Callithrix jacchus: one gene and its partner. The protein of the gene in region 1 purifies or fractionates together with the protein of each later gene. This does not show direct contact. Links are inferred from orthologs where the notes say so. Each region holds a gene or a part of one and is shown in the gene's direction. Other genes may lie near its edges.

Region 1 (3,815 bases):
AAGGCTGTTGTGACCACACCGCCTACTTTTACTTTTGGTGTGAAATCAAAAATGATGGCATGAGACAGGCCATGGGATGTCCCTCACTTATGACTGCTGGGCTGACCTAACCAAGTTTGTCTTTGAATCAGTCAGCCTTTGTATCTCTGGAGACGGGTTAGGTAACACCCACTCAGAAAGGCCTTCCTGTGCCTTCACCTGATTGGAGAACCCTAAACCTCTTGACAGGTACTGTCCTACTCATCACCTCAGAACCTAGCAGTAGTAAATTATCCACAGAGTGTATGAGTGAGTCTTAGAGGAGATTACAGTATGTTTCTGAGTTTCTTAAGGAAACTTATTTTCATAATCCTCCTGGATCTATGAGGATATTATAATGAACTGTGTCGTTATTTCCTTTCGCATCTTTTAGCAGTGCTTTTACTTTCCTAAATAAATTAACTTTAGTTTGCTTTCTTACATTTTGCCAGAATGCTGACATCTGATTCTGTACTCTGATTTTGGGGATATCCTGTTTTAAAAATCAGTAGGATTGACAGTCGGCCCTGCATGAATCCCTTTAACCACCTCTGTAGCAAACAAAACATTTTAAAAATGGAAAATAGGTCACATTTGTAAAAAATACATTTGAATATGTTTTATACTATAGACCTATATGATTGAATGCAGTAGCCACTACCTGCATGTGGGTAGCTAGTATCTGAAGTGTGACAGTTTTGGATTCAAGATGCTGAAAAGGTGAAATACACACCAAGTTCCAAAGATTTCATATGTTGGTTACATGTTGAAATAACAGTGTTTTGGTTATATTGAATTAAATAAAATATTAAAATATTTTAATGTTTGATGTCATCTGTTTCTTTCTAATGTGGCTGCTGGGAAATTTTAAATTCTGTTAAGTGGCTGCTGTTAAGTTTTTTGTGGTCAGTGCGACTGTAGAGAACTAACTCCATTAGGCTTAAGCATCTCATTAGAAGCAGGGTGAAGAAAACTGTGGGTCTAGAAGAAAGACCACATCCAACCTCTCTCTGCCCATCCCCTTTGCCAACTCCAGGTGAAACCCTGCTGAGTCCCTTGGTGATGTGTGGGCCCCATGGCCTCAAGTTCCTGAAGCCGGTGGAGCTGCGCTTACCACACTGTGCGTCCATGACTCCTGACGGTTGGTCTTTTGCTCTAAAATCATCCGACTCCTCGTCGGGTATGCTGTCTTCACTCTGTCCTTTGGGGGCTTTGGGGACTGTCGTTGATTAATCCCTGGGCTGCTGATGCTACCCGTGCTGTACAGCAAATCTCTACCTCGATTCTTGTGGCCTCGTAGGCATCACCAGTGTTTTCACGTTTATTTGTGGTACATATATTGTAAATAAATACGGAAATGTAGAAGAGTTTCTGCTTTTAAAAATCAAGAATTTGGCCAAATATTGACTGTCCCTCGGTGTTCAGCAAAAAGATTTATTCTGTCAAATTTTTCAAGATTCACTGGGAGAATTGTTACTGTCCTGCACATGTGGGCATTTTTATCTTCTTCTTAAAATGATTTCATTCCTTTATATAACTTTTCTATTTTTGTTTTTTTTTTGTTGTTGTTTGTATTTTTTGAGATGGAGTCTCACTCTTTCACCCAGGTTGGAATGCAATGGTACGATCTTGGCTCACTGCCATACCTTTGCCTAACGGGCTCAAGTGATTCTCCTGCATCAGCCTCCTGAGTAGCTGGGATTACAGATGCCTGCCACCACACCTGGTTAATTTTTGTAGAGATAGGGTTTCACCATGTTGGCCAGGCTGGTCTTGAACTCCTGACTTCAAGTGATCCGCCCACCCCAGCCTCCCAGGGTGCTGGGATTACAGCCATGAGCCACTGTGCCTGGCCTGTTTAATTTCTTAATCTACAAAGCATGTCTACCAGATAAACTTAAAAGATCTTCCATTGTGATCATACTTGGCCATGGTTTTTCAGTGTAATACTCTAAATAACTTCTTTTATACACTTGTTGTAAATGACTTTTTACTTCTAAGATCATAATTTCAAAGCTTCCATTACATTTTCACATTTCTCACTTCCTTGAGTGATTTAAGTTAGTTAACAATTGGAATTTTATTTTGGGTATAGATCACTTTAAGTGAGCCTGATTTAAAGTACTGCTTCTAAATCTTTGATAAATCAGATGAGCATTATTTAGTTTTAGTTTGGTACAGTATGAAATAAAAGTTTGTGGTATAAAGATTATAGCAAGAGCATATATTAATGTTAACAGAGAAAAATTACTTGTAAATATGTATTTCCTCATATTTACAAGTAGCCCATTTTCTGGAAAAATGAAAGGCTTTTGACTCCAGATATTGCTTAGGGCGTCCAGCATACTGTAGGCAGGGTTCTTAGCTGGCACCGTTGACAGTTTGGCCACATGATTGTTGTAGGGGCTCTCCTGTCCACTGTGGGATATTTAGCAGCTTCCCCGGCCTCTATCCCTAGATGTCAGTGGTAACAAGCAAAACTGTCTCTAGATGTCCCGTTAGGGGCAGGGTTGTGCCTGTTTGAGAGCTACTGCTATAAGGGAAGCAAGAGTCCACAGTTGGGACTCTCCACTTGCTTGGGTACCACAGAGATACACAGTCATCCCTGCCTTCTTCACATTTCATAGAAATCACTAAGAGCTTACTAAAAACTCAGACCCTGAGACCTGACTAACACACGGCGAGTGAGTGAGTGAAGCTGCGGGATCAGTTGTGTTGTACAGCTGGAATCAGCTGAGCAGCTCTGGTGCAGTCTTGTTTTTTTGTTTGTTTTTTGTAAGGGGGAAGACAGGCTTCAGGTACTAGATTCTGGAGAACTAGGTTTCATTTGTTGGTCTGTAGTTGAGTGTGAGAAATGTATCCTCATTCTCAGCTCAGATAGTTGGTCATATAATGATTCTCCAGACTTTTGAAAGTGAAAGAAAAATGCTACTGATAATTATGTGGGCTCAGGGGCAAACTGGGACTGTCTTAGGCATATGATTGCTGTCACTCACTCGTATTTGTGTTTCGAAAAGCCTAATGCACTTGATAATGTCATAAAGGAGAGGTCTGAAAGTTAAAAAAAAACAAACCTTTCTTAATGGTATGAGGGTGTCAGTTGGAAAGAAAGTTTAAAAATATATATTTTTTAAATACAAGAAGTGTGAAGCACCTTTGAAATTGTTAGATGCCAGCAGGTCTGCATTGAAATAAAGCAATGAGTTTTGATAGAAATACAATATTCTGAGGAAATACAAGACAATTATATCTAAATATCCGTATTTGCCCATAATTGCAAAGCGTTACAGACAGCAGGTTACTCAAGTGTAAATGACATCATCTTCTTTTCTCTCATAGGTGATCCTAAAACCTGGCAAAACAAGTGTCTTCCTGGAGATCCAAATTATCTCGTTGGAGCAAACTGTGTTTCTGTCCTTATTGACCACTTTTAACTCTTGAAATACAGGAACTTGATTGAATAATGTGAAACTGGGTCAAACTCACTAAATCTAAATGGAACCACTCTATCAAGTATTATACCTTTTTTAGAATCGAGACTACAATTTGTTAGTATTAAGTATTTGTTTGAACTGAGAAAGATTAGTGAGCATGCCCCGAACCATGGTCAGAAAACATGCTACACACTGCATGTTTGTGATTGACGGGGACTACTGGTATTGGCTAGAGGTTCAAAGATATTTTGCTTTGTGATTTTTGTAATTTTTTTTTTTTTTTTTTTAGCATCACTGCTTAACTTCACATATTGATTTCCGTTAAAATACCAGCCAGTAAATGGGGGTGCAGTTGAGGTCTGT
Region 2 (3,915 bases), on another chromosome or scaffold:
TGCTTTTACTTCCTTCAGTATGAATTGTGCCTTAAGATCTAATGTATGGGAGAGTCACATCTCTAACCATTTAATTAAAGGTAGAGAAGTGGATGGGATTGGATAGAAATTTATTAGCAATGCTGACATTCCAGTCTGGAACACAAAGACAACCAGGATTTAAGAAACCTAAAAGTTCGTTTTCAATGCAGATAGTTAAATGCCAAGAACTATAATTGCCACATCCTAGGGTGCAATTAAAAAATATGTTGAAAAACAACAAACGTACATAAAAGTATACACAGTGTTAAGTGCAGAATATGAAATTTCCTGTGGAACCAGAATCCAGATCAAGAAATAGAACACAGCAACCAGAACTAAGGTGCTTTTTCGTTTTCTTTAAAAAAAAAAAAAAAAAAGTAAACCAAGTTTATTTTGCTTTTTAAGTAGTGTTCTTAAAGCACTACAGTTTGGTAATGTAGAAGGTGCTTTTTCTTAGGGCAAAAAGCCAGAATAGTTTAAATCTCCCCGTCCCCAAGAGCAGACTCTCGATCACACCATTTGTATTTGGGAGCAGGTGGGCAGGAGAGGACCCTGAGGTGGTGATGTGTAAACTGTATTACGCACTTTAGCCTGCTGGACGGCAACTGACTGACACTAATAGCTACAGTAGTTAACATTCATTTTAACCCCCCCTAAGTAATTGTCTTATTCTGAATCTAGAGATTCAGAAACAGCGCCAGTATTTACACACGATTTTTGAAATCTTCCCCGGAGTCTTTCGTTGGAGCAACATATATGGATGCCTTTTTCCAGCAACAGTTTAATCAAATTTTGGAAGCAGAAAAGCGTCCCAGGAGGACGTGCCTTTCCTAGCAAAGTGCTGAGTATCTGGGCCCTCTTTCCGGAGCTAACAAGTCCCCTCCGGCCCTTGTTCTGCTTCTCCTCGTCAGGCAGCTCGAGGTTCCAACAGAGGCAGGAGGAGCACCAAGAGCGCGCCCCGAGGTGGTCCAGGACCCCCACCCGTGCTGCCCGTGGGAGAGCGCGCCTCTCCTCCGCGCCCCGCCCCTCGGGCCGGAACGCCGCGCGGTTCCTTTAACAGCAAGCTGGCCGGGTGTGGGGAGCAGGGCCGCGTCCTCCCGCCCCCTCCCATCCGAGTTTCAGGTGAATGGGTCACTGAGGGAGGAGGCCGACACACCACACCTTCACTCCCGCGCCCACCTCTCCCTCCCCGCTTCCTCCGGCGGAGACGCCAGGAACCAGGAGCTAGGGCCAGAGCGCAGAGGAGCCCGTCCCGGACGTAGCAGGTGGGACTCGCAGGCGCGAGCCCGCGGGCCTCCCGCACCCCTTCACGTTGGTGCGCATGCCCGGGGGCAGGGCCGGGTGTGGGGAGGAGGGAGAGGATTGGGAGGAGGGGCGGGAGGAGGGCTGAGACGTCCCCAGCCCTGTCCCCGGCCGCGCGCTGGCGGTCGGCGCGGCGTCAGGTGTGGCCGCCAGGTGAGCGCGCTCCCTGGCTCCGGCGGCCCTCGGTGGGTCGGGCCCAGCTGCGGCGAGTGGGTGAGTGTTGAGCGCAGCGCAGGGGGCGCACGGGAGCCCGAGGGTCCCCGTAGGGGGACCGCGGCGCCTCTGTTAGGGGACGGGCGGGGGAGAACGCCCAGCGCTGGTTTCGGTGGCAGTTTCGATCCCGGGCTGGTACTTGTGGTAACCGGAGAGGCGCGGATCTGCGGAGAGAGCAGCGCCGGCCAACTTGGGAGGCCGCCTCCCCGGGCGAGGGGCGGCTTGAAGCCGTCGATCAAACTTTATTACTCGGAAACGCTTAAAGCTGGCAGTGCCCCGGCAGCGCGGGCAACTTTTCACTTTTCTGGGACGCGACATTCCTGCATCAGCTCAGGGGCTGCCGTTTTGCGGTGCGGCCCTCATGCAGAGGGGCTCCCAAGCCGGAGGCTACTGCGTGGGGGCTGTTCGCTGGCCCGGGCGACTTACATCCTAGGGGGGAATTTCATCCCTTCTGCCCCCACACCGCTCCACCCCTTTGGGAATTCCGGGGAGAGGGGTGCTGGATTCAATCTGTGAAATATTGTGGGAGTCACGGTGTGGGCCACACTGGCTACTTCGAATCCGCTTGTTGGGAGTTTTGTGAACCGGCGTCGATTTAAGCTGGGGGACGAGGAGTTAATTTCGAGTGAGGCTGGACTTCTAGGGAAGCTGTTCACGCTTCGGATTCTCATCCGTGACCAAAAGGCTGCAGTCAGGGGGGCGGAACTGCCTCCGGGCGGTGCCTGCCGGGCGAACGCAGGCGCGCGCTGCCCAGGTGCGCCGCGGGACGCACGGACGCCGGGACCCGCGCCCGGCTGGGCCACGGAGTTTGGGGACCTCCGGGGCAGGACCGGACCCGCGCGCCAGCCATGTTTCCTGCGTCGGAGGAAGCCTGCGGGAAGCAGGGGTCGACGGCCAAGATGGCCTCTGCGCCTAGGGGTTGGGAGCGGCGCCGAGCCCCTGGAGCTCCTCGTGAAGCCACCCGCCCAAGGAAAAACCGCTGCATCCTCAGGCGGGACCCGGGGCTCGCTGGCCACACTGCCCGCTTGGGAAATTACCCCGGGCGAGGAGGAGGCGGCTTTCCAAGCAGATTAGTGTGTGCTCCCGAGGCAACAGGTGTATTATTGGGATCCCTGGAAAAGAGAAACGCTTCCCATGAAGGCACTTAGGGTGATTCCTGCTGTGATAGAAAACCAGGCATTCCCAAGTGTAACAATAGTAACAATAGTTCTGTTGCACTGTACATGTGAGTTGGTTTTGTGTGTGTGTGTGTGTGACGAAGTCTCGCTCTGTCGCCCAGGCTGGAGTGCAGTGGTGCAATCTTGGCTCACTGCAACCGGCGCCTCCCCGGGTTCAAGAGGTTCTTCTGTCCAGACTACGGAGTAGCTGGAACTACAGACACCTGCTGCAACGCACGGCTAAGTTTTGTATTTTTAATAGAGACGGGTTTCTCCGTGTTGGTCAGGCTGGTCTCGAATTGTCTACCTCAGGTGATTCCCCGTTTTGGCCTCCCAAAGTGCTGGGATGACAGGTGCGAGCCACCACACCCGGCCTTTATGAATATTTCCTTAATGGTGCTTTAAAATAGACATCTTAAGGGGCGGTGGAAGGCACAGATATTTCCTCAAAGGAACTTTTCTTTTCCCCCTACGTTTTGCAATTTATTTAGTTATTAGAGCTCCTTTGTTGTGATGGAGAGGAGGATAGAGAGGTTGGTAAGACAGGTTCTCCACCTTTCGGCAGCTTCCAGGTCATTTCGGGAAGTAATGGGTAGTGCCTCCTGCAGGTGAGACACTGTGCTAAAAGCATTCTGTATTTTGTCATTTAATCATCCCAACACCTGTAAAAGACAGGTCTTAATGGAACTCCGTTTTAAAAGTGGACAAACGCTGTGGGGGAAACGTTGCAGGTGGGCCTGCTTGCAAACTGCTTCAGCTAATCAGGGAAGGAATATCAGAAGCAGCGGTCCTTCATATTCCACAGCCAGATTTGGGGGATTTTTCTATCATTGACTAATACGTATCGCCTGATATCAGATTTCCCACATTTTGCTTGATGTCAAGGTAAAATTCTTGTTTTCTTCTAAAGGTAATGTTGGAATTACTGCCTTTTCAAAATAATAGATTACTTTTAACCACATAAATGAACTGATGTAATATCTTTCACCTTCCCAGGAACCTCCCAGAGGGAAGTTTTCTTCAGTTGCATCTTGAAGCTTACTTGTTTGGAATGTTAATGGGCCTTTTTCATCAAATTATTTATAGAAATAAGAGAGTAAACAGACCAGGCAGATTTCTATTAGGCTTTTTGTTTTAACCTCTAGGCTTGTTGCTGTTCTGTAACCCAGTGATTCCAGTCTTGGCTGTGGTATGAATCACCCAGGGATCTTATTGAAACACA

Evidence for each region.
Region 2: the proteins of TJP1 (region 1) and OCLN purify together in Homo sapiens (affinity purification with western blotting; 4 studies listed by BioGRID and IntAct, with this or other methods). This does not show direct contact. The link is inferred for Callithrix jacchus from reciprocal best matches to the Homo sapiens genes TJP1 and OCLN.

The regions. Positions count from the first base shown.
Region 1 is NC_133507.1:7,931,309-7,935,123, reverse strand, and holds part of TJP1 (tight junction protein 1), read left to right. Parts: intron 1-1,054; coding exon 1,055-1,198; intron 1,199-3,357; coding exon 3,358-3,452; 3' UTR 3,453-3,815. UniProt on the Homo sapiens protein: TJP1, TJP2, and TJP3 are closely related scaffolding proteins that link tight junction (TJ) transmembrane proteins such as claudins, junctional adhesion molecules, and occludin to the actin cytoskeleton.
Region 2 is NC_133503.1:140,011,389-140,015,303, reverse strand, and holds the start of OCLN (occludin), read left to right. Parts: upstream 1-1,076; 5' UTR 1,077-1,143; intron 1,144-1,212; exon of another isoform or gene 1,213-1,336; intron 1,337-1,409; exon of another isoform or gene 1,410-1,536; intron 1,537-3,915. UniProt on the Homo sapiens protein: May play a role in the formation and regulation of the tight junction (TJ) paracellular permeability barrier.